Sus scrofa: one gene and its partners. The protein of the gene in region 1 interacts with the protein of each later gene in a pairwise test. Links are inferred from orthologs where the notes say so. Each region holds a gene or a part of one and is shown in the gene's direction. Other genes may lie near its edges.

Evidence for each region.
Region 2: the proteins of NUPR1 (region 1) and PSMD4 interact in a two-hybrid assay, tested with the Homo sapiens proteins (2 studies listed by BioGRID and IntAct). The link is inferred for Sus scrofa from reciprocal best matches to the Homo sapiens genes NUPR1 and PSMD4.
Region 3: the proteins of NUPR1 (region 1) and STX18 interact in a two-hybrid assay, tested with the Homo sapiens proteins (2 studies listed by BioGRID and IntAct). The link is inferred for Sus scrofa from reciprocal best matches to the Homo sapiens genes NUPR1 and STX18.
Region 4: the proteins of NUPR1 (region 1) and MPHOSPH6 interact in a two-hybrid assay, tested with the Homo sapiens proteins (2 studies listed by BioGRID and IntAct). The link is inferred for Sus scrofa from reciprocal best matches to the Homo sapiens genes NUPR1 and MPHOSPH6.
Region 5: the proteins of NUPR1 (region 1) and RAN interact in a two-hybrid assay, tested with the Homo sapiens proteins (2 studies listed by BioGRID and IntAct). The link is inferred for Sus scrofa from reciprocal best matches to the Homo sapiens genes NUPR1 and RAN.
Region 6: the proteins of NUPR1 (region 1) and FUS interact in a two-hybrid assay, tested with the Homo sapiens proteins (2 studies listed by BioGRID and IntAct). The link is inferred for Sus scrofa from reciprocal best matches to the Homo sapiens genes NUPR1 and FUS.

Annotation. Positions count from the first base shown.
Region 1 is NC_010445.4:18,401,626-18,404,911, forward strand, and holds NUPR1 (nuclear protein 1), read left to right. Parts: upstream 1-1,155; 5' UTR 1,156-1,425; coding exon 1,426-1,573; intron 1,574-1,997; coding exon 1,998-2,134; 3' UTR 2,135-2,147; intron 2,148-2,481; 3' UTR 2,482-2,786; downstream 2,787-3,286. UniProt on the Homo sapiens protein: Transcription regulator that converts stress signals into a program of gene expression that empowers cells with resistance to the stress induced by a change in their microenvironment.
Region 2 is NC_010446.5:98,001,845-98,006,023, reverse strand, and holds the start of PSMD4 (26S proteasome non-ATPase regulatory subunit 4), read left to right. Parts: upstream 1-1,379; 5' UTR 1,380-1,395; coding exon 1,396-1,421; intron 1,422-4,179. UniProt on the Homo sapiens protein: Component of the 26S proteasome, a multiprotein complex involved in the ATP-dependent degradation of ubiquitinated proteins.
Region 3 is NC_010450.4:5,932,007-5,936,105, forward strand, and holds the start of STX18 (syntaxin-18), read left to right. Parts: upstream 1-1,299; 5' UTR 1,300-1,526; coding exon 1,527-1,712; intron 1,713-1,988; exon of another isoform or gene 1,989-2,218; intron 2,219-2,539; exon of another isoform or gene 2,540-4,099. UniProt on the Homo sapiens protein: Syntaxin that may be involved in targeting and fusion of Golgi-derived retrograde transport vesicles with the ER.
Region 4 is NC_010448.4:6,253,385-6,257,321, forward strand, and holds the start of MPHOSPH6 (M-phase phosphoprotein 6), read left to right. Parts: upstream 1-1,137; 5' UTR 1,138-1,168; coding exon 1,169-1,267; intron 1,268-3,937. UniProt on the Homo sapiens protein: RNA-binding protein that associates with the RNA exosome complex. Involved in the 3'-processing of the 7S pre-RNA to the mature 5.8S rRNA and play a role in recruiting the RNA exosome complex to pre-rRNA; this function may include C1D.
Region 5 is NC_010456.5:24,315,225-24,319,491, reverse strand, and holds the start of RAN (GTP-binding nuclear protein Ran), read left to right. Parts: upstream 1-1,467; 5' UTR 1,468-1,729; intron 1,730-2,310; 5' UTR 2,311-2,320; coding exon 2,321-2,356; intron 2,357-2,787; coding exon 2,788-2,872; intron 2,873-2,952; coding exon 2,953-3,078; intron 3,079-4,267. UniProt on the Homo sapiens protein: GTPase involved in nucleocytoplasmic transport, participating both to the import and the export from the nucleus of proteins and RNAs. Switches between a cytoplasmic GDP- and a nuclear GTP-bound state by nucleotide exchange and GTP hydrolysis.
Region 6 is NC_010445.4:17,323,766-17,327,865, reverse strand, and holds the start of FUS (RNA-binding protein FUS), read left to right. Parts: upstream 1-1,300; coding exon 1,301-1,313; intron 1,314-2,865; coding exon 2,866-2,890; intron 2,891-2,985; coding exon 2,986-3,140; intron 3,141-3,992; coding exon 3,993-4,100. UniProt on the Homo sapiens protein: DNA/RNA-binding protein that plays a role in various cellular processes such as transcription regulation, RNA splicing, RNA transport, DNA repair and damage response. Binds to ssRNA containing the consensus sequence 5'-AGGUAA-3'.

The DNA of each region.
Region 1 (3,286 bases):
TCCCAGGTTGGGGGTCCAATAGGAGCTACATCTGCCAGCCTACCCCACAGCCACAGCCATGCGGGATCCGAGCCATGTCTGCGACCTACACCACAGCTCACAGCAATGCCAGATCCTCAACCCACTGAGCGAGGCCAGGGATGGAACCCACATCCTCACAGATGCTAGTCGGGTTCGATAACCCATGAGCCACAACGGGAACTCCAGGAGAGCATTATATTGAGCTGTTTGGAAACTGTGTGATCAACAGATGCCACGCAGCTAACCCTGTAGCAGGCAGTGTTCCAAGTGCCTTGCTGTGGATTATCTTGAACGTCACCCCAACTCTATAACCTGGATACAACTATCATCCTCCTTTTACAGAGGAGGAAACTGAGGCCCAGAGACGTAAAGTGACTTGTCCAGGGTCGCACAGGAAGTAGTGGATCAAGGATTTGAATCCAGGTCATTTGGCTCCAGAATCTGCATTCTTAACCACTCTGCTAGCCCCCATCTCAGGAGGGGGAGATCATCTACTGACCCCCAGTTCAGGATGTTAAGGGGGCTTTCCAAGGTGTTTCTTATTTAAAAGTAAAAGGGGAGTTCCCATTGTGGTTCAGTGGTAACAAGCCCAACTAGTATCCATGAGGACCTGGGTTCGATCCCTGGCCTCGCTCAGTGGGTTAAGGATCTGGCGTTGCCGTAAGCTGTGGTGTAGGTCACAGAGGCGGCTCAGATCTGGTGTTGCTGTGGCAGAGGCATAGGCTGCCAGCTGCAGCTCTGATTCGACCTCTAGTCTGGGAACTTCCATATGCCACGGGTGCAGCCCTAAAAAAAAAATTATAAAAGAAACTACATAAATACAAGAAAAAGTGGGCGTTGGTTGAGATCAGGGTCAGAACGCATGACAGAGCACAGCGTGTGTTGTGTCCTCTCCCAGGTCATTCTTCACTCCATGTTCTGCCGCCAGTCCTGAATCTGAGCCAGAAGCGGATGGGGGTGGAGGTCAGCTGTGTGGCCGTGACCCCCCAGCCCAGGAAGGGCATGTGGCAGAGGGCAGGCGATGGCCAGGGAGGAGTCAACCAGGTGAGGCGCTGAGTTCCCTGCTGGTTTAGATCCCAAGGGCTGTTTATGCCAGACTCCGCCTCCTCCCTCCTCCCCAGCCCCCAGCCCTGAGGCTCTTCTCTGTGGAAAAATACCCAGCTGGGCGAGCCCCGGTGAGAGGGAGGAGGCAGGGGGGCTGGGGCTCACGGGGGAGGGGATGACTCCTTTCCCCTCTCGTGACTGGTGTTTACTTGGCTGGGTTCTGGGAAAAGGCCAGATTGCATCAGACAGAGCCTGAGGGGCTGGAGCCAGACTAGGGGCTGAGGAGGAGACGTGGCCTTATAAATCGGGGCCGTGAACTAGGAGGTGTCAGGAAAGCAGATGCAAACACAGCCTTAGAAGATGGGCGAGGAAGAGAGAGACAGAGACAGAGACATTATGACCACCTTCCCGCGAGCAGCCAGCCCCCCCAGGCAGCTCCTATGCCCAGAAGATGAAGACCCCAACCTGGATGAGTACGACCTCTATAGCCTGGCTCATTCTTACCTGGGTAAGTCCCGGCCCTGCCACCTTCCCAGTCCTTCTATTTCCAACACAGTCCGACACCCCATCTCCCCACACTAGAATCCTTCCTTGGGCTCCTGCCCACCCATCACCCTTCTCCGGCCTGTTCCCTTGATCTTTCAAGTTGCCCCCTTCTAACCCCGCATCCACTGAGCATCCCCGTCCTACTTGGCCCTGGGACCTCATACTCTGCTAGAGTGTTTGGAGCAATGACAGATTGGGGGGCGGTACCCTATTTCCACAGATGGGGAAACAGGGACAAGGACATCCCTAAAGCTACGTGGTCATGACCCCCCAGCCTCCTGACTTTAACCCGAGCTCTTCCACCCCCGCCCGCTGGACCCCCAGCCCGTCCCTTGAGGCATCACGCCTCTGCCCACCTCACCGCGGACCCCTGTCTTGATTCCCAGGAGGGAGAGCCCGGAAAGGTCGCACCAAGAGAGAGGCTGCTGCCAACACCAACCGCCCCAGCCCTGGTGGCCACGAGAGGAAGCTGGTGACCAAGATCCAGAACACGGAGCGGAAAAAGCGAGCAGCACGGACCTGAAACAGAACTCGAGGTAAGGAATCAGGGGCTCCCTGAGTACCAGTAGAGGTCCCTCTGCTAGGAAAGGACAGGCCTGAACGTGCGTGGGTGGGCAGGGAGGAGGGATCAAACAATTGCTGTCCCAACATAGAATAAAATGAGACATATGTTGGACTCTGAGTTCCCTAGTGGCCAGAGCAAAGAGGGAAACAGATCCTTTCCAACTGGAGCAAAATTTGGTTTAGAGAGAGGGAAACCGAGGCCCAGAGAGTGTAAGATCTTTCTCTGGAGTCACGGGTGAGTGAGCAGGAGAGCCAGAATTAGAACCCGGGCCTTTGTGCTTTCACCATCTGCTTTCCTTCTGCCAGGTGAGGCCAGAGCACAGACACCCCACAGCAATGGAGACAGGACTGCGGAGGAATCAGTGCCTGGGGGCGGGATCCAGGCCTGCTGGCCGCCCTGCCCCTCCACCCCCAGGACTTACCCCACGTGACTGAGGCTCGAGGGGCTGCCAGGGAAGCCGCCCCAGCCTGAGAAAAAGGGCAGGTTGGGGAGCAAGAGGCAGGGGGTAGAGAAAAGCAGGGTCACCCCAAACAAAAAAAAAAGAAAGATGCTAAAGAGGCTGGAGCTTCCCAAGGGTGACAGTGACAATAAACAAAGTACAGCAGCTGCAGCCTGTGTGTGTGTGTTTTGTCCTCTTTATTTTCGTGGGGTTTTTTTTGGGTACATGTGTATCTGCATTTGCATGAACCAGAGAGAGCAATTTTGGTTAGTGTTTGTATTTGGTTATGCGTCTGGGAAGGGCTGTTTCTAATTTAAGGTGAGCTTTTTTTTTTCTTTTCTTTTTTTGTCTGCATGTTTGGGTGCATGTGTTTCTGTGGTTTCTTATGCAGTGTGAGGGAATTTCCTCTGTTCTTTGTAATGCTGCCTGTGAAATAAGCCCTCTCCCCAGCTCCTCTCTGTTTTTGCTTTTTTTTTTTTTTTTTTTTTTTTTTTGAGGGCTGCACCCGTGGCATACGGAGGTTCCCAGGCTAGGGGTCTAATCAGAGCTGCAGCTGCCTGCCTACATCACAGCCACAGCAACACGGGATGCCAGCCGTGTCTGCGACCTACACCACAGCTCATGGCAATGCCAGATGTTTAACCCACTGAGCAAGGCCAGGGATTGAACCA
Region 2 (4,179 bases), on another chromosome or scaffold:
TTCCTAGTCAGATTCGTTTCCGCTGGTCCACAAAAGGAACTCCAATAACGGATTCATCCTTAACCCACTGGGACACAAAAGAACTCCTAGCATTTAAAAAAAAAAAAAAATTTTTTTTTTTAAGTGATGCCACTCAAGGCATACCGAACTTCCTGCACCAGGGATTTGAATTGCGCTGCAGTTGCAACCTAAGCTACAGGGGGTAATGCAGCATCTTTTAACCCACTGCAGCCAGGGGATGGGGATGGATTCCTCACCTCCATAGCCACCTGCAACTCTGCATGGGATTCGTAACCCATTGCGCCAGAGCGGGAACTCCTTAAATGGAATTTTTGATTAAAATCCAATATGGTTGACTAAGTTATCTCCCATTCTTTGGGAGATTAGTTAAAATTATTGATTTGTAAAAACTTTTCTGCATTCCTACCATGTGTTAGGCTATGTAGTGGGCTCAGGGATAGAAGTGATTAAGACAACTTTCCTGGAGTTCCCGCCGTGGCGCAGTGGTTAACGAATCCGACTAGGAACCATGAGGTTGCGGGTTCGGTCCCTGCCCTTGCTCAGTGGGTTAAGGATCCGGCGTTGCTGTGAGCTGTTGTGTAGGTCGCAGACGCGGCTCGGATCCCGCGTTGCTGTGGCTCTGGCGTAGGCCGGTGGCCACAGCTCCGATTCGACCCCTAGCCTGGGAACCTCCATATGCCGCGGGAGCGGCCCAAAGAAATAGCAAAAAAAGACAAAAAAAAAAAAAAAAATGTATGCAAAAGAAGAATGAAAAGTATAATGAGTTCCCCATGTACCCATCACCTGGCTTCAAAATTGTGCTATAACGGGTCACCTTGCTCTACATCGGAAAATTGACAGAACAATGTAAACCAGCTATAATGGAAAAAAAAAAAAAAAAAAGACAACTTTCCTGCTCTTAATGAAAAGGGAGCGTTAGATACACAAACAAATGCAATTCAGGGGTAAAAGGGTTTAGCAGTTAGACGAACAAAGTGCCATGGGGAACAGGGGGAGCTGAAAAGTCACTAGTCATCCCACCATTATTTTTAAAAGATGATGCTGGAACAGACATAACCATAGCACTTGTCTTTTTTCTTTTTTGCCACGCCGGCTGCATGTGGATTTCCAGGGCCAGGGATGTAACCAGCGCCACAGCAGCCACCCAAGCCGCTGCAGTGACGAGGAAGAATCCTTAACCCCTTCAGCCACAAGGAAACTGCAATCCCTTTTATTTTGGCGGCGCCTACAATTCCCAGAACGCATCGCGGAGGATGGAGGCGGAACCAGTTGGTCGATCAGAGACCTATGATTGGTGATGAACGCTGGGCCAATTGGAGGAGTTGTTGTTAGGTGGTCCAGGAGAACCGGTCGGGGAGGGAGAAAGCTGGCAAGATGGTGTTAGAAAGCACTATGGTTTGGTGAGGAACTACTTCGGGCCCCTGTGGGGCAGCGGGACTGGGTCGGGGGCGCGTGTAGCTCGGAGGCCGGGCAGGCCTGGGGTGGGGACGGGGCCTTATGGGCGAGTTGAGGCCCCGGGCCGGGAAGGAAGGCGGTGCATCGACTCCCTGAGTCATCCCCGGGCCCCGGAGTTAGTTCCCGGAGAACAGGCCCCGGGTGTCCCCCTTTAATCCTCAGCCCGCGTACAGCCATTGACCGGCCGATTCTTGCTGCCTTTCTCTATTCCAGCGTCTTTAGCTAGAGTTCGACTCTCAGACTCATCCTGATGGTCTTCTGCCCTCCTCTTCTAAATGATGGATGTTAGGAAGAGATGATAAATCCCTTCCCCGTCCCCATTTACTCGTGTCTAACTCTATTGCCTTTCTCTGTATCATCTTCAAAGGTACAGCTTACAGGTTGCTTTCTAAATGTCAGGCGTTTAACTTACTTTATTTCACTTAAACCTCACTATACTTAAAGTCCCTCCCTTTTACAGATGAGGATACGGAGTCTCGTCAATTTTAAAATGACTTACACAAAGTCACACAGCTAATTAAGTAGTGGAGCTAAAATTTAAACCCAGAATTATCTGACACAAGGGCTCTTATCCAGTGAGCTAGCTCTCTTCATCAGTCTCATACTTGGCTGAGTAGCTATTAGGAGTCGGATTAGAAGCTGAGAACACAAACTTTTGCAGGGTTTCAGGAGTTTCTTCTAAGTGTGAGCATAGAATAAACACAGACTAGTACGCAAACACAAACAAATAGCCAGTTGGATGGACAGACACCCAAGAGTATCTCTGCCAGGAGGTTAGCATTGCTAGATTGCATATAAGCTGCCCATTTAAATTTGAATTTCAAATAAGCAATATGTTTTGATGTTAAAAATGGATATAAGTATATCTCAAATATTATGTGGAACATACTTATACTAAAAAGTTATTGTTTATCTGAAATTCAAATTTATTTTTATTTTTTTATTTTATTGTCTTTTGTCTTCTTAGGGCCTCCCCTCGGCATATGGAGGTTCCCAGGCTAGGGGTCCAGTAGGAGCTGTAACCCTGGCCTCTGCCAGAGCTGCAGCACTGCAGTATCCAAGCTGCGTCTTCGACCTACGCCACAGCTCATGGCAGTGACAGATCCTTAACCCACTGTGGGTGGCCAGGATGCTACCCAAGTCCTCATGGATGCTAGTCGGGTTCATTAACTGCTGAGCCACAGAGGAAACTCCTGAAATTCAAATTTAACTGGGACTCTGCTGTCGATCATGGCTCAGTGGAAACAAATCTGACTAGCATCCATGAGGATGCAGATTTGATCCCTCTCCTTGCTCAGTGGGTTAAGGATCTAGTGTTGCTGTGGCTGTGGTGTAGACCGGCAGCTCCAGCTCCAGTTCAGCCCCTAGTCTGGGAACCTCCATATGCCATGGGGGCAGCCCTAAAAAAAAAAAAAAAAAAAAAAAAGGACAAAAAAAAACGTAGAAAGAGGACAGGATTTGGAATCAAAAACCTCTGTTTTAGGTCATGACTAGCTACATGTTCTTGAGAATGTATTAAATCTCTCACTTTTTTAAAAAAATGAGAATAATAACATCTATTTTTCTTATGGCTTAGGTAGGTAAAATGTATAATATGGAGCTCTGTAAATTGTATAGCACTGTACGTATATTGGTTTCCATTGCACTTGAGGAATCCTTGAGAAAGAATTTAAGAAAGGTCTTAGATGTTGAGGAAGGGAAGCTATTACACGTGGAGAGAAGAGCATAAAGCTGCTGCAGTGTAAATTCTCAAGGTATGTTTAGGGAGTAGGAAATAGATTGGTGTGACGTTGTTTTAATTGTTGGTTTAAGATGGTTCTTTTTTTTTTTTTGGAGAATGTATATGGAAGTCCACAATTGTCGGGCTAAGGACACTGAGTTCTGTCTTGTACCTTCAATAGAGGACTGCTGAAAAAGTTCTGAGTCTGGTGGAGGTGGAACTGTGTACAAAATGGCATTTAAGAATATTGATCCAGGGAGTTCCCGTTGCGGCGCAGTGGTTAACAAATCCGACTAGGAACCATGAGGTTGCGGGTTCGGTCCCTGCCCTTGCTCAGTGGGTTAAGGATCTGGCGTTGCCGTGAGCTGTGGTGTAGGTTGCAGACGAGGCTCGGATCCCATGTTGCTGTGGCTCTGGCGTAGGCTTGCGGCTACAGCTCCGATTCGACCCCTAGCCTGGGAACGTCCATATGCCGCGGGAGCGGCCCAAGAAATAGCAAAAAAAGACAAAAAAAAAAAAAAAAGAGAATATTGATCCAGGAGTTCGAGTTGTGGCTCAGCGGCTTACGAACCTGAGTAGCATTCATGAGGATGCAAATTTGATCCCTGGCTTTGCTCAGTGGATTAAGGATCTGGTGTTGCCGAGAGCTGTGGTGTAGGTCACAGACGCAGCTTGGATCTGGTGTTTCTGTGGCTGTGGCGTAGGTTGGCAGCTGCAGCTCCAGTTCAGCCCTTAACCCCGGGAGCTTCCATATGCCGAAGGTGCCCCCTTTAAAAGGAGGGGGGAAGTATTAATTTGATTTGGTGTAAAGGAGGAAAGATTAGGCCTAGAGAGACACATTGGTGGCTTATTGTAAGAGCCCAGCCTTGGGTGGAATAACCATGAGAGCCACTCCTTTTTATCTGCAGGGGTTCATGCCTTGCTCTGCATCAGAATTTTCTGAAAGAGCTTTTTAAAAATTGTGTATAGGAGTTCCGTCGTGG
Region 3 (4,099 bases), on another chromosome or scaffold:
GCCATTCAGTGGATATTTATGGGATACCGGGACTGTGTGCCAGTCACGGTACTGAGAATTGAAGATACAGAGAAAAACAAAGCGAAACAACTAGATGAGAGTCGGTGTTTCAAAATACAGCAAGTCTAGTAGGGAGACCTTTCTGTTATATTGGCAGTAATGTCGTCATTATTTGGGGTTTATTATTGTTACTGGACTTATCAGTATTATCTTGCAAAGTAGAAAAGTCACTTCGAATCTATTTGCTTTTTGCCCCCCCCCCCCCCGCAGAGAACTGTTCTAAACAGTTAAAAAAAAAAAACAACCTTCCAAATGTAGGGAAGACATATATAAACGAGTTGTAAAATTCTGTGGTGAAAACAGCATGCACTGAGGTTCTGTGGAGTAAGAATTCTCCTTTTATAGGAAAAAAGTGACTTAAGTTTGACTCTCCCAGTTAATCTGGTTACTAAAGTTATATGCGACTTATTTTTAATAAGTAGAAAGCCAGCGCATCTGTTCCTTGACGGGCGTTTGTCGCCGTGGCTCCCTTCGGCCGGTACCTTCAGGTGCGAGCACCCAGGAGTCCTTCTCTGGCCAGAGCGCGCCGTCCCCTCCTGTGCTCGTGTCTTAGAAGATAATCTGCGTGTCACTCAGCAGGTGCAGAACACATGCTGTTCCAGGCGTGATAGATGTGTCTCGGGAAGTTAGGACAGGGTGATCCCAGGACCAGTGAACACGTGTTTTTTTTTTTTGTTTTTTTTTTTTTTTTTTTTTTTTTTTTTTTTTTTTTTGCTGACAGCTCTTAAAAATTCTAGCATGACAGGCGGTAGAGACACTAGTCAAGAGCAAAGATTCTGGAGCCACAGTAACTGAGTTTTAATCTAGCCATGCTCCGCGTTAGCTGAGTGGCAGTGGGCGCAGTATTTAATATTTCAGCACCTCAGTTTCCTCATGTGTAAAATTGGGGTGATGATACTGTCTGCCTCATAGATTGTTAGGAGAATTAAGCGAGTAAATATTTGTAGGACAGAATAAACTGCTTGGTGCAGAGCGTTATATGTATGGGTGCGAGTAGATGCTTTGTTACCTGTGGATGTTTTTGGTACTAATCACAGAATAATAAGGTACTGTGTATAGTTCTAGGGCCTGGTCAGTTGATGCTGAGTAAGTTGAATGGTGACGTAGCTTTTTCTAGCTTTTCTTAGTTTCTCCTGCCCACCAACCCCAAGACGTCTTAAAAATTGGAAGTCTCTTTATTGGCATATTGTGCAATAATCCTGGGAATTCAACCTGACCCCTGAGATCTAAATCAGAGGTCACGCTTTGCTAAAGCCAGGCCTTCTGTACAGATCCCGGGGGCAGGGGTCGGAGGCGTCTTAGCGTCTCGGGGGCCCCCTGTGCTCCGTGGAGCCCGAGGGGATCTGTGATCATCCACTCCCACCGCCCAACCACAGTCCTCAGAGACCAGCACTGCCCTGCGTTGGTTCACATGCTGGTTTCGGAGAAGGAACGTCCATGCAAAACGTTAGGAAGCCGGTTCTGGCATGGCTTTGACGTCCCTCGGACGCAGGCTACCTTGCCTTGCAGGGTGGAGTCTTCTCCCTGCCTCCCACAAAGGGCACCCCACAGCCTTCACCTCCCTCTTTCAGGCAGCTGGTCTTTGCACACCTAAGAGCTCCAGGCTTAGAATTGCGTCTCCGACAGGACACTGTGGTTTGATGTGGCTGATGGTAGGCTCTTTATTTTTTTTTTAATTCCAACCCCATGGTACTATGATTACGTGCCATGGGAAGGGTTATGGATAAAATGCCAGTCTTCCTACGCCCCGTTGTGCAGGGCAGCGTCATTGTGTATCAGGCTCTTAATGGTGCTCCAGAGCTGCTGGTTGGAAACAGCACCAACCTCCCAGGCCTCAGCTCCTCCCTGGCAGAGTGGCTTGTGCCAGCAGGGTGGGTGGCGCGGGCTGTGACTGGTGGAGAGGGAGAACCTGGAAGGCAGGGGCAGCAGTGAGGCGCCGCCACGGTGCGGGCGATGGGGTGAGCAGAAGGGGCAGGATTCGGGAGCCAGTTCCGGCGTAGAATCTACAGGACTCCCGGACGGATTGGCTGGAGTAGATCAGTGGGAGCGGCGGTCAGCTGTGGGGTCTCTGCTCGAGAGGACAGTGACGTTCTCATGATCCCATGACTGGCTCACGGCACACAGTGGCCAACGTGGGACCTGCGGCCACCGTCCTGAGGTGGGGTTATCAGGACTCAGGAGGCCTCGCAGTGCTGGGAGGCTGTGTTGTTTTGCTGCCCAGGCCTTTCCTGTCCCCTTAACTCGCCACTGGGGTTGCTGTTTAAGGAATCCAAGTTCATCTCGTCCAGTGGTGGGGTTGGACCATCCCTGACTTTCGTTTTCTTCGTCTTAAAATTGAAGATCTCATATTACTTCCTTTAACTTTCCTTTGGGGAATGCAAAGGATAAATGGAAAAAAAAGAGGAATCTTGTTTTTGAACGTATATATGACAGGAGTTCCCACTGTGGCTCAGCAGGTTATGAACCCAGCTAGTATCCATGAGGATGTAGGTTTGATCCCTGGCCTTGCTCAGTGGGTTAAGGATCCGGCGTTGCCGTAAACTGTGGTATAGGTCGCAGATGTGGCTCGGGTCCTACATTGCTGTGGCTCTGATTCGATCCCTAGCCTGGGAACCTCCGTATGCCACAAGCACGGCCCAAAAGAACCAAAAAAGAAAGAGAAGGATCTCTAACAAAGAGATCCTGATGGAGGTACACTGAGTGATGCATCGCAGTCCAGCTCGAGGATAAGGAAGTCACACGGCCTGGGGAACTAGGACGTCCTCATTTGCCGGCTGTTTCCGAGGTGAACGGCTTTTAGAGCCCACAAGTCGTGGGGGGCGGGGAGGGGCAGCCAAGGCGGTCTGTCCTTTCGGTCGAACTCTCCTGTCTGTTTTAACTTGTTGCATCTCCTTATACTCAATACTGTGAGAGCCTTCTTTTAAAAAGTGGCTTACTTGTTGCAGGTAATTCAACAGATTCTTTTACCCGAAAGTGAATGTTATTGTGTATTTTTTTTTCTTGTTTAAAAATTCAGGCCTGGGGTTGGGGGAGCCAGACCTGGACCTGGTCGTGATGGCATAAGGCTGCCATTTCTTAACCAGGCAACTCTAACATGAAAGCAGGCAAGCGAGCTCTTGTCCTCTGCCAGCGCTGTCAGTGAGAGGACACTTACCGCTGCGGCTACAGAAATCCCTTACGGGGCATTCAGGGCCTTCCAGCCTTTGCATAGTACTTGTCATATGCTGGGCACCCTTCTGAACAGAAACTAACCTGTACCCCTCCGGGAGGTATGTACTATTATTTTTCCCTTTTTACCAAAGAAGATAGTGAGGCAAAGCCGGGTTAAGTAGCCTGGGACCAGCCACAGGGCTAGGACTGTGTGGGTCCAGGCAGAGTCCAGAGTCCGCTCTCCTGTGCTCCCCTCCATGATTCTCGGCCCTGCTGGTCCGTTAGACTCATCTGGAGAGCTTGCAAGAGGGCCGGGGGCCTAGCCCTACCTGGGACCAGTCCGAGCTTCACTCTTCGCCCTTCCCGGGGTCTCTCTCCCAGTCTTTCTGGCTGACCATGCCCCGTCCTTCCCTGATTTCATGGCACATGTAGGGGTTTAATGGCCTTTTACAGTTCAGGATACACAGCTTTCTGGTTTGGCTCTGTTAGGCAGGGCCCTGGAGCTAGGGACGTCCTGCCCACTATGTGTGTCCTGGCCAGGGCCCCACACAGCATTGTGCCCAAACCCAGCCCGTGATTGTGTGTGGTTGTCACTTTGCCTCAGGGGGGATCTCATAAGGTACACGGAGAGCACAGATGGTGACTTGGGCAGATCTAATCTGAGTGGCCCTGGCGTGTCCGAGCTGCAGTTTGCTTACCGTGGACTTGGAGAGGTGGTCAAGTTAGAGGCTGATTGTGCAGATTAAATGAGATGCATGAAAGTACAGAACAGGCTCCTGCCGGCAGGAGGCAATCAGAAATAAATGCCGAGTTCCTTCTGTGTAAACTAAGCATGGTTTTGACTGTGAAGAAGCACTTGAAAATACCCTCTTCGGCTTTCAGTCAGAAG
Region 4 (3,937 bases), on another chromosome or scaffold:
CTCTTCAGCATTCTTATGGGGATTAATAATACACATGTGGTACCTAGCATAAGAATTTGACACAGTGCCCACAATCAGCTGAAAAATTATTAGGCTGTGTTTTCCAAAGTGTAGCACCTACAAATGAAAAAAAAATTTTTTTTTTGTTTTTGCTTTTTAGGGCCACACCTGAAGGCATATGGAAGTCCCCAGACCAGGGGTTGAATCAGAGCTACAGGTGTCAGCCTACACCACAGCCACAGCAACGCTAGATCCGATCCACATCTTCAATCTACAGCACAGCTCACGGCAATGTCAGATCCTAAACCCAGTGAACAAGGCCAGGGATCCAAGCCACATCCTCATGGATACTAATGGGTCACAACGGGAACTCCCTAAAAACTGTCTTTAAGTGGTACACAGAGCATTACAGCTATCATTTTTGCAATATTCTTTTAATTCTTCAGATGAAAACAAGGGTATCTTCTCACACTCATAGTCCTCCTGTTTTAGAGAAAGGTCATTTAGGTTCAAAGACGCACACCCTAGTTAACAGGTGAATTAAACACGTTTGTAAGGGCCATTCTGAAGCCAGACCACCTGGGTTTATCCTACCTCCCTTACTCTGGCTTTGGGCTGGTTCCGGAACCTGCCTTTACCTCAGTTTACTCAACTGCAACAAGGGGATAATGACCACTCCCTAGGATTATTGTGAATGTAAAACGAACTACTATGTGTAAAGTGATGCAGAACATAGAAAGCCCACCAGCCACGTTAGAAACACGTGAAGGAAACGGTCCGGACCGGATGGCTGGTGCGGCAAGTGTTTCAAAGGTCTCACCAGGGTGACCGGGTCGGCGCGGCAGGACAAGGTCCGTGAGGCGGGATGCGCTCAGATGGCGCGCGGCCCGAGGAGCCCAGCCAAAGCCCTCAGGGAAGGCCGACAGCAGCCGGGACTCGGGCTTCCTTCGACTGCGGCCTTTTGGGGTCTCCCTCCTGGCGTCACAACGATCTCACGCCTGCTTAGGTGTCTGTGCCTTTACCCTAAGCTGCTTCTCGAAGCGAGCGCTCGCTGAGGCGAAGCGCGAAAAGCGCGGGCAGCTTTGGAACGCGAGAAACGGGGGCGGAGCCAAGGGGCGGGAGAACGCGGGCTACGTAATACGACGCCGATACGCACGCAGCCTGGCGCATGCGCGGCGAGCCAAGGGGCGGAGCGCGGCGCCGGACGGGACTCAGAATGGCGGCCGAGCGCAAGACTAAGTTGTCCAAGAACCTGCTGCGCATGAAGGTACGAGGACGCGAGAGAAGCGGGCCTGGCGGCAGGGATACCTGGCCTTCCAGACTTGGCTGGGGCGCAGGCAGCGGGCGTACGGCGAGCGCAGGGGACTTCCTGCTCTCGCGTTCATTCATTCACTTAACGCCTGCTCTAGGTTAGCCACTGGGAACAGGATAATGAATCCAGCGGAATCTCTCACAAAGTTCTTGGTCCCACAGGAGAGACAGACACGTAAGCAGGCAGTTAGGATACAGCGTACTAAGTGCAGTGATGCTAGAAGCGCCGGAAGCTCCGGCAAAGTACTTGAGCTTCTGCAAGTGGTGGAGTAGAGTTAAGACTGAAGGGTGGGGGTTGGGGGGCAAGGGGGCTATAGAGACATAGACGAATGGGAAAGCGAATTCAGAAGTCTGAGGGGCAAACTCCCCCCAAATCCGTTTTTTTTTCCGGAAACTAAAAGTCATTCGGTATGTGTGAAAGGCAAGCAGCAGGAAATGGGCCTGGAAAATGAACCAGTAGTTGCAGCATGTAAGGAATTTTAGGCTAGGTTAAGATTTGTTTTGTTTTTTAATCTTGTGTCATTGCGAAGCTATTGAACACGGAGCAAAGTAGCATTAGCTGTGCTTCTTTCTTGTCACCATAACTTTTACTGTCCTGTGGAGAAAATACATTGGTGAAAGAAAGACCCAACAGGGGTCCAAATTACAGTCTTAACGACCAGCTAGATCTGATCTGGGTGAAAGGTTTGAGTGGTGATGGGAATGGAGAGAATTTTAATACTTTAGGTGAAAGTGAATTATGTCACCCAGAACTTTAAACAAAATTGATTTCCAGATTTGAAGTTGGATTAATTTAAACATACTAATTTCAGATTGGGGAGGGGAGGCAAAAATAGATAAAATAAATATAGGAATTAAAACAGGAGGAATAGACAGGCCTTAAAACTTAAATAATAGAAGTAGCAAACATCTATAGTCCTTGCTTTGTGCTGGACACTGTTGTAATTGCTTTGCATGAAATCCACTTAATAACCCATGAAATCCCCATAACAACCTTTTTAAATGGGTACAGTTATTATCCCTCTCTTACATCTGAGGCACCTGAAACAAAAAGCAAGTAATTTGTTCAAAGTTACACTACTGGAGTTCTTGTTGTGGCTCAGGATAACGAACCCAACTAGTATCCATGAGAATACAGGTTCAATCCCTGGCCTCGGTCAGTGGGTTAAGGATCTGGCATTGCCATGAGCTGTGGTGTAGGTCGCAGACATGGCTCAGATCTCACCTTGCTGTAGCTGTGGTGGAGACCAGCAGCTGCATCTGATTTGATTCCTAGCCTAGGAACTTCCATATGCCGTTGGTGCAGCCCTAAAAAGACCAAAAAAAAAAAGTTACACTTCTAATAAAGAGTGTAGACAGAACTTAAACTCAAGCAGTCTGGCTCCAAAGCCCTAGCCCTTAATTACTACTCTGTACTGCTTGTTGCTAAACACCCCCTCATAGATGCAAACTGTTAGATACCATGTTTAGAGAATAATGGAGTTTCCAATAAAAGAAAGCAAGAAATGTATAATCTCTTGAAAGATTAGAGAGTAAATGTTGCATGTGCAAGACATGAATGGTGTTGAGCTAGAGTGTAACTAGGGATGAATAAGATGAGGGTGGAGGATAAATCATAGTGTAATTTAGTTTCTAAAGTACTACTTACAGGCATATTAACAAAATTTGAATCATTACTGAACAGAGTCATTTGCTTATGGTTTGTAATCATGTAGATTTCAAAGAAGTGGATTGGCAGTGCAGGCATTGAAATGATTTTAGCAGCAGTTGTTTTAGCTCTTGGAATAAGTCAAATGGAGGAGTTCCTGTCGTGGCTCAACAGAAACAAATCTGACTAGCATCCGTGGGACGCAGGTTCAATCCCTGGCCTCTCAGTGGGTTAAGGATCCAGTGTTGCTGTGAGCTGTGGTGTAGGTCGCAAGTGCGGCTTGGATCTGACATTGCTGTGGCTGTGCAGCTACAGCTCCAATTCGACCCCTAGCCTGGGAACCTCCATATGCCACAGGTGCTGCCCTAAAAAGACCAAAAAAAAAAGTCAAATGGAGATGTGCTGAGTGATTATGGCTCAAACCAACAATCTAATTTGGGGGGTAGGAAGGAAGAAGTTAAAAGAAAAAAAAAATTTCACCTGCATTGAGGAAGATTCAGGTGGACATTGGAGGCAAAGGAGAGAGGGAAAAAAACTTACCCAGGTTCTCTAGTTGGATTAGCAATTTTGACCATTGACAAGAAAGAATTTAATAGCAGGATTGCAGGAGACACAGTACAGATGGAGGAGGGTAAGCCTATGAGAAGGAATGGAACTGCTATATTAGGTTGCCTTATCCTTGTCTGGCAGAGCTGTTCAGCCAGAGCTAAGAACAGAGCAAGAATGAGAAGGTTGAGGATTTAATACTGACTCATTTGTTTCCTAGTGTGCTTGAAGTCCTCTGTCCTGGTCAGCTATTGGAGGCTGGAGGGTACTCCTGACAGGAAGTAGAAAGTTAAAGGATGTATGTGGAAGGTCTGTCGGTATGATGGAATGTTTATAGAAAGTCACTCGTCAGTGACTTGTGCTCTTTTGGACTCTTAAGACAAAAATTAGTGAACTTTTTCTGGGAAAAGTCTTTAGTTTTGTGGGCCAAAC
Region 5 (4,267 bases), on another chromosome or scaffold:
GGGCATATGTGTGAGTTGAACTCTAGGGCATCTCCCTAGAAATGGAAATAGATGGTCATGAGCTATGGACATTAATGTGTGTTTTATTCCATTCTACTCTCCCAAGAGGCCAAACCAATTTACACTCTCACCAGGGGCATCAGCTCTACTTGATGTTTTCGTGGGGGGTGTCTAGGGAGTCCTCAGACTTGACTTTGCAGCAGGCATGTGCTCAGATGTGCTGTGTCCAATATATCACGAGTTCCCAGTAGACTAGCCTGCAAGTATGCTCAGGACTATGTGGCTAACTCCTTGGTCATTTGGGTTCTCTTTGCTCTGAGAAGAGTCCCCAAGGTGGAATCTTTTGAGGAACTTGGCTATCCTGATATGCTTGCTTGGGGAGAGGGGATCAACATATCAGTTTGAGGAGTTCCTTGTCGTGGCTCAGTGGTTAACGAATCAGACTAGGAACCATGAGGATGTGGCTTCAATCCCTGGACTTGCTCAGTGGGTTAAGGATCCGGTGTTGCCGTTAGCTGTGGTGCAGGTTGCAGAGGTGGCTCGGATCCTGCTTTGCTGGGGCTGTGGCGGAGGCGGGCATCTACAGCTGCGATTAGACCCCTGGCCTGGTAGACCCCTGGCCTGGGAATCTCCATAAGCGTTGGGAGCGGCCCTGAAAAAGGCAAAAAGACAAACAAAACCATATCAGTTTGAGAATCTGTGGCTGTTCAGACAAATGCCAAAACCTGGCCTTTAGATTTACGATGTGAGGTGGGAGGGCTCCGTTTGGCCAACGGCTTTGCTCAAAGCAAGTGAATGGGAATAACCAACACTTGTTGAGTTTGAGGTGTACCTCATTTTCTCTCTTGGACAATGGCCACAGGTGGATATGCCCTGGAGAATTAAGTTCTATGAGTGCACAGTTCTTGTCTGGACCCTTGACAGCCTTACCCTCACAAGAGTCTGGAACCTAAATACTCAATGACTGGAACCTAAATACTCAATGACTGCATGCCTGTTTGTCTCAGAAGAGCTGCCAAGGTGGAAACACTACATTGCATCATCCTGTTTGCAGAATAGGGCCACAAAGGCTGCTGACCACTTAGATGCTCAGAGAAAAAAGTGACTGGCATTTCAGGATGGGAAAGACATTGGTCTTTGCTTCTTTTACTCTCCAGAAGGTCCTTACTGAGATGGGGGTGAGGGTCAAGGGCAGGGGCCAGAATACCGGTGGGTGGGGGTGGGGCAGCACGCACCCCAACATGGCGCCCGCTCGGGGCCTGCGGTGCCGCGTTCGTACAGCTGCGAGGGGGGGGGGGGTCAAAGGCTTTGTGTGGGCCACCCCGCGAGTTTCCCGCCCAAGGGGGCCTCGGCCCTCTCCTCCCAGCTCTGTTCCCGCGGCGGCAACAGGGCGCGCCGCGTCGCTGTCAGCGCATGCGCGCGCGGGAACCCGCCCTCTAGGCTGGCGCACGTGGCCCGGCAGCCCGACGTGCGTGCGCGCGACCGCCGGGCCTCCCGCGTCCGGGGCTCCGGGAGCCTCTCCCTCCTGGACGACGGGTGCGGCCGCCAAAGCTGTGCTGTGTGCGTGTGCGCGCGCGCGCGCGCGCCGGGCCACGTGGGAGCGGCGCGGCGCCGTTGCCCCGCCCTCCCCCGGCGCGCGCCGGCGTCGTCTGCGTCTCCGGGCATTTGAATTGCGCTTCCGCCATCTTTCTAGCCCTCAGTCAGACGGGCGCGGAGACGCTTCTGGAAGGTAGCGGGGCAAGGGTGGAGGCCGAGGAGCCAAGGCGGGGATGGGGGGGTCGGGGCGTCCCGGTGGCTGTGGCTAGCGGCAGCCATGAGGAGGTGGTTTCGCGGGGCCTAGGTGTCAGGTGGAAAGCTCTCTTTCCTGGCCGCGGAGGCCCCGGGCCGGCGCCGGAACCCGGGCCGCAGTGGGCCGGGCGGGCGGAGAGGGTCCCCGGGGCGGCCAGGCGGAGGGGAGATCGGGCTGGAGGGTCCTGGCGGGGGCCAGGGGCGGCTGGGCCTGGTTGTGCTACCGTGACCAGGCGCTTTCCGCGCCCCGGTCTCCGCGCCGAGCGAGCCTCCCTTTCGCCCGGCCTCCGCGCCGACTGGGCGCGCGCCGGGCCCCGGCGGCCGGAGGAGCCCGGCTGAGGAGCAGCGCCGCCGTCGCCATTGGCGCGCCCTCGGCCGCCCGCGTGCGGTGTCGGGGGAGGGGGAGTGGGCGGCGGGGCTCCGGGTTGGAGGCCTTTGTGGGCCCGGGCACGTGGGGCGGGTCGGGCCATGCGGCCCGCGCCGCTGTGCAGCGGGCCTCACTTCTTTCTCCTTCTCTCGCAGTAACATCACGATGGCTGCCCAAGGAGAGCCCCAAGTTCAGTTCAAAGTAGGTAATCCTCGTGAGTTGGGGATCTGCTGCTGTGGACCTGAGGAGGGGATCTGCGGGGGGGGGGGGCTCTTGTCCAAACGGGTTTCACAGGGTCTCCTTTATGACCGCAAACCTGTGTCGAAGGCCCACTTCGTCTGCCAACATGTTCGTGCCGCGGCAGGGCCTTCAGCCCCCCGATAACGGGGTGGGGGTGCTGGCCCCACCCTACGGATAGGGAAGCTGGGCAAGGGAAGTTTCATTGGCTCCAGTCATTCATTAATATGGGACAGGGCAGCTTCATTAAGATTCTTTGTTTTAAATATACTTAAGGGATATTTAAAGTTCTGTTATGTAAGTGCAATGGGTGTCCATAAAATCTTAACTACATAATTCTGAGATCCTGAAATGTTGCGTGTCTTGGTGTTTATTTCAAAAATGTCTTTCGACAGCTTGTATTGGTTGGTGATGGTGGTACTGGGAAAACTACATTCGTGAAACGTCATCTGACTGGTGAATTTGAGAAGAAGTATGTAGGTACGTAGGGGAAAACCATTGATGAAGATGTGTGCGAAATGGATGAGTTCAGCGACTAACTGGAAGTGCTTGTGTTTCAGCTACCTTGGGTGTTGAGGTCCATCCCCTTGTGTTCCATACCAACAGAGGACCTATTAAGTTCAATGTATGGGATACGGCTGGTCAGGAGAAATTTGGTGGACTGAGAGATGGCTATTATATCCAAGGTAGGTGCTTGATTTGTAACCAACAGTTTTCGAGAGGATCTGTGAGTTGGTCTCCAAGGTTGCTTATAAATAATCCGATCTAGTCCAGTAGACTCATGCATAGTACTGACTGAACTGGGAATCGGGTAGTTGGATCCAAAGGATGTGCTGGCTTCAGGGACTTGACCATCATTTGAGGGGCAGAGAATTTTGTGAAGTTTGTTATGTGCCATTTGATTGTGTCATGATAGGCACGGTTTTGGAAGAAACTATGGTTTGTGTTCAGGCTCATAACTTAAAACGCCACAGACAAGCTGTTACTGGAGCTCCTGTATTTGAAAACTTGGGAGTGTTTGAATATATATTTTGGTGATTTCAACGATTATTTCTTGTGCACTCCATTGAAAAGGTAGTAAACATTTGAGCAGATGCTGGACCAGAGGAGCTAGGTCTTCTGTCTTATAAAATGTTGTATAGGACCAGCTGATTTCTTTTTAAATGTACTAGGTCTTGTGGAATATTTATTTCAAAGTGCTTGGTTTAAAAAATGGAAGGAAATAAGTGCTTATACCAAGAAAAAAAGATGAATAAAGAATGCTTATTTCCTAGAATCTTTCTCTTTTGATGAAAATTGTTGAGAATCTTTCCATGTCTTTTGCTTTCCTTGGGTACATACAAATGCAAGGATTCCCGCCAGCCAAATCTTTTAGCTACAAATCTGTGTGATACACTGTGCCTACTTAGTGGCTTAGCAGCCTTATTATGGCTGTTCTATAAGACAATAAATACGGGCTTCACTGAACTTTTGAAAACAGGCACACTATATATTCTCATGTATTTATCTATTTAAGAACCTTTTAAAGAATAGATTCTTACATCCTATATGTGGAAGGTGAGTTCTCTGGAATGCTAATTTATTGTTAATCTACATTGGGTATTTTTTTTTTGAATGAGGCAGAGTTTATGATGAATTACTACAGGTGGAGAGATTTCATATGGTAGGCTGGTCTTTCATGCTTTCACATACAATAAAAGAGAATTTAAAATAATGTATATTTAAATGGTCTAAGATTTTTAGAATTGGTATAGACCTTGCAATTGAATAGAGAAATTAGAGTTAGGCCTGAGATTATGAATCTGAGTCCATAGTTTTCAACATTTTTTTCATTTGGGTAGTAAATTCCTTGGTATGTACTAATTGCTGTACATT
Region 6 (4,100 bases), about 1.1 Mb from region 1:
AAGGAGTGAACAAGCTTCAGAACACTTCAAAATGTCTGTATAACTAACAAAAGGAGTATTTTGCAGCCACACAGACCTGGATTCGAATTAGACCCCTTACATTTGGCTGTTCCATAATCATAGATTGCATTTGGCCTGAGTCTCATTTTTTTGGTGTATAAAAGATAGCCTTGCTATCTTTCTTCGTAAGATTGTGATGGAAAAGCAATTAATTGGGCTTTTTTTTTTTTGGCCGCGCCCACTGCATGCAGAAGTTCTGGGGCCAGGGAGTGAACCCTTGCCACAGCAGCCACCTGAGCCACAGTAGTGACAACGCCAGATCTTTAACCCACTGTGCCCTGAGAGAACTCTCTAATTGTGCATTCTGAAGCCACTTCAGCCCTATACAAATATCAATTATTGTTGGATCTGCACATTGATTCCTCCGTAGGGTTTCAGGAAAATACTCCCAGCCCTTTATCAGCAAAAGGCTGGGAGAACCCTGATATAATCTCAATCTCCGGATTGTTTGGGCTTTTCTGTCCAACAGCGAGTCAGAAGCCAAGCTTTGAGGTTGTAGGTGGGCCATAAATGCTTAATCAAAACAGGACCCAGGGGTCCGAGCTAAACTCCATGCTTGCTTTCACGTCAAACGTCACAATCCACAAGCCCTGGTAAGGACAACCCTGAAAGACGATGAGTGAAAACCAAGACGAAGAAAGGTAGTGTGTGTGGTCGGGGGAGGGACGTTAGAACCAAGAGAGGGAGGCTGGCGCGGGAGGGAGGATGCATCTGATGCAGTGGAAGGGCAGTGGAGCGGAGAAGCTCGCTATCCGGAGTGAAAGTGAGGCCCAGCGAAAGGGGCCAGCCTGAGGAATTTCGGTTCCCGCCCCACGACTCCCGGCTTTGACTACAGTTCCGCCCGCAGACGCCCTAGGCCCCTCGCCCCGCCCCCAGAGGGTAATCGGACTGTACCATTATGATCTTATAGGGGTGGAAGTGAATCTTTGGCTCGTCCTTCAGAGAAAATATAAATTATTTCTCAGAAAAAATAAGGCTATATATATTATTTGCATGGTTCTTAGTGAATAACAATTATGTTCTGCCGGCTAGGACCCTATATATTCCCTGAAGGGCGGCAGGAGTCCGGCCATGCTTCCCCTTTTCCTTTCCGCATTTGGTGCATTCCCCCAGGATACGTAGGCGGGGGAGGCGTACATAAACCTCGACGCAGGAGGCGGGGCTGCTCAGTCCTCGAGGCGTCGGTGCTCAGCGGTGTTGGAATTCTGTTGCTTGCCGGCCTGTGCGCGCGTGCGCGGACATGGCCTCAAACGGTATGTAAGTGCGCGAGGCGGCGGTGGCGCGCCAGCCCTGGAGCTCGTAAGCTCCCAGTTGGGCTTTTGTTTCTCGGTGGGGCCCGGGCAGCGATCGCATGTAGGATCTTCTCCGCACCACTGGCGGGAAGCAGCGGAGAGGGGTGGAAGGGGGAGGCCGATGTCGCCATTTTGTTTCGCTCCGCTGGCGCCTCGCGCAGGGCGGGAGGTCTTCCCTTTGCAGCCCCTTTCCTTTAGGTGAGGGTTGGGAGGAACTCTTCTTGGTGACTGGGGACGTGAGACGCGGATGGAAATGCTTGGTCCCCGTAGCCTTCTCTCCTCCGCGTCTCCAGCCCCGCGCTCGGGCCCGCTTTGTCGCAGTGCTGCATCCGGGCACTCGGTGCGCGCACGCGCTCTACTGGCCCCTCCCCCCTTTTCTGGCGGCGCGAACCCCCCTCCCGCCTCGTGTCGGCCCTGCTTTTTGTCGCGAGACCCTCCACCGGCAGCTCCGCGGCGCTCGTCCGGTGTGGGCCTCGCTCCCGGGGTCCCTCGGGAAGGGGCGGGACCTCCTCGTTCCCGCCTCGCGTGCCACGCGGCTGGGGGCGGAGGCTTTGGATCGGGACCGCGCGCCCGTTTAACGGCTAGGGGTGGGGGGCTAGGGGGTGGTCCAACGGACTTGGGGACCGGGTGAGGCTTTTCCCGCCTAAATTTTCCTCCTTGGGAGGTAGGAACTGAAAGGAACGGCCGCCTTAGGCCACACCCTCTCCCGATCCTTTTGCCGTTTCCTGCGGGGAAAGCTGTTTCCTGTATCGAGATGAGTTGATCAGGCTTGTGCTGTCTTCCTTGTGGCGTTTTCGTTACCTTGGATTCGCCAAGTCTCCCCGCAGCCCCGAGGCAGGCAGGGGAGATAGGAACTCGTTGGGAGCCGTAGGGCTGAGGACCTGAGTACCAGTCGGCTTGCCTCTCGAGGCGACCGCTCTTTGATGGCGATCTCTGTCGTTTGGGGTCAAAGAATTCTCCCTTCTTGGTGAGCTGGCTCTGCACTAAAAGCCCCCTGTTCCTGTCTCCAAGATTGGATGGAGGGTGGCCTCTCTCCAGATCTTGAGACTTTCTTTGGGTTGAGAAAGTGCAGGCTACAATCGGAACGTTTTTGCTTCTGGCTTGCAATAAAGCCTGTTCTGCTCAAGCAGCTGTGTGGCTTCAGTTGGACTCTTGGGGATACCTTCCTCATAGAGTGGGTGTGAAAACATGTGAGTCAGTTTGTGCAGTTCCGGATATCAGTTGAAGTTGCAGAAAAATGGTAGTTGTCCACCAGGACTCTTGCTTTTTCCAGTACTTAAGGCCTCTTGGTCTCGGTAGAAATTCGCTTTTTTGGTGTGTCTTTATTGTGAGAAAACTTGACTTTGGTCTGCCGTCTTGCCCCTCTCAACTAGGGTTTCAGGAGGGGATTTCTGCCTTGTCAATTTTCACATCTAGGGGCTCTGGGGCTTGAGTTGAGGCCTTTACCTCTAGTTTGTTCTCTTAGGGGTGGCTGAAGGTAATGTTAATATGATTGTATTTTTCTGTTTTGCAGACTATACCCAACAAGCAACCCAAAGGTGAGTGTCATTTCTGGGTTTCCAGAGTTTGTAGGGGGCAAGGGTGGCTAAGGTGTCTTTTCCTGAGAGCACCGTTGTTGCCTTTTCTTCTCCAGCTACGGGGCCTACCCCACCCAGCCTGGGCAGGGCTATTCCCAGCAGAGCAACCAGCCCTACGGACAGCAGAGTTACAGCGGTTACGGCCAGTCAGCGGACACTTCAGGCTATGGCCAGAGCAGCTATGGCAGTTCTTATGGACAGACCCAGAACAGTGAGTCTTTTTAAGTGGGTCACCCTTCCTCTTCCTGCTTTTTCTGAATGTTGCTTTTCTTAAACCTAAGCAGTGCTGAACTGTTGAAACTGTCCCCCAGTTTCTTTGCCCTTAACCAGTCTGTGATCCTTCAAGCTACTTAGAGTTTGAGTTCTTTCCAAGTACTTAATTCTGTTTCCTTTTATTTTCTTTGACTTTGCATTTTTTGATTTATGCTGCACTTCTCCCTGTTTCCCCTAAGAATGAAAGTGAAATTGGGGAAGAATATTCCCTAAAGGGAAAAGAGTTTTAAGTTTTTGATATTTAAAAGGAGAAAATGGGGAGTTCTCATCATGGTGCAGCGGAAACAAGTCGACTAGGAGCCATGAGGTTTCCGGTTTGATCCCTGGCCTTGCTCAGTGGGTTAAGGATCTGGCGTTGCTGTGAGCTGTTGTGTCGGTCACAGACGCAACTTGGGTGTGATCCTGTTGTGGCTTTGGTGTAGGCCAGCTGCTGCAGCTCCAATTCGACCCTTAGCCTGGGACTCTCCCTATGCTGTGGGTGTGACCCTAAAAAGCATAAAAAAAAATAAAAGGAGAAAATGATTTGCTTGAAGACGTTGGAAATCAGCATACTGTATATCACATTGATACACAAAGAGGTGGAATTTGCCCTTAGGTGCTGAAGGGTAAATAATCTGAGATGTACATCACAGGCTGGTTAAATGCTGTTAAAGGAGAGGGATCTCTTGGGCTGTGATTGGCGGTGGTTCAAGAGGCTGGCTTCAGGTGTAGGTAGCATTAGGGATGTATACAGTGTTTCATCAACCTATTCTCATTCCTCAATTCATGACTTTTTTTCTTTTTCTCGTAGCAGGCTATGGCGCACAGTCAGCTCCCCAGGGATATGGCTCAACTGGTGGCTATGGTAGTGGCCAGGGTTCTCAATCGTCTTACGGGCAGCAGTCTTCATACCCTGGCT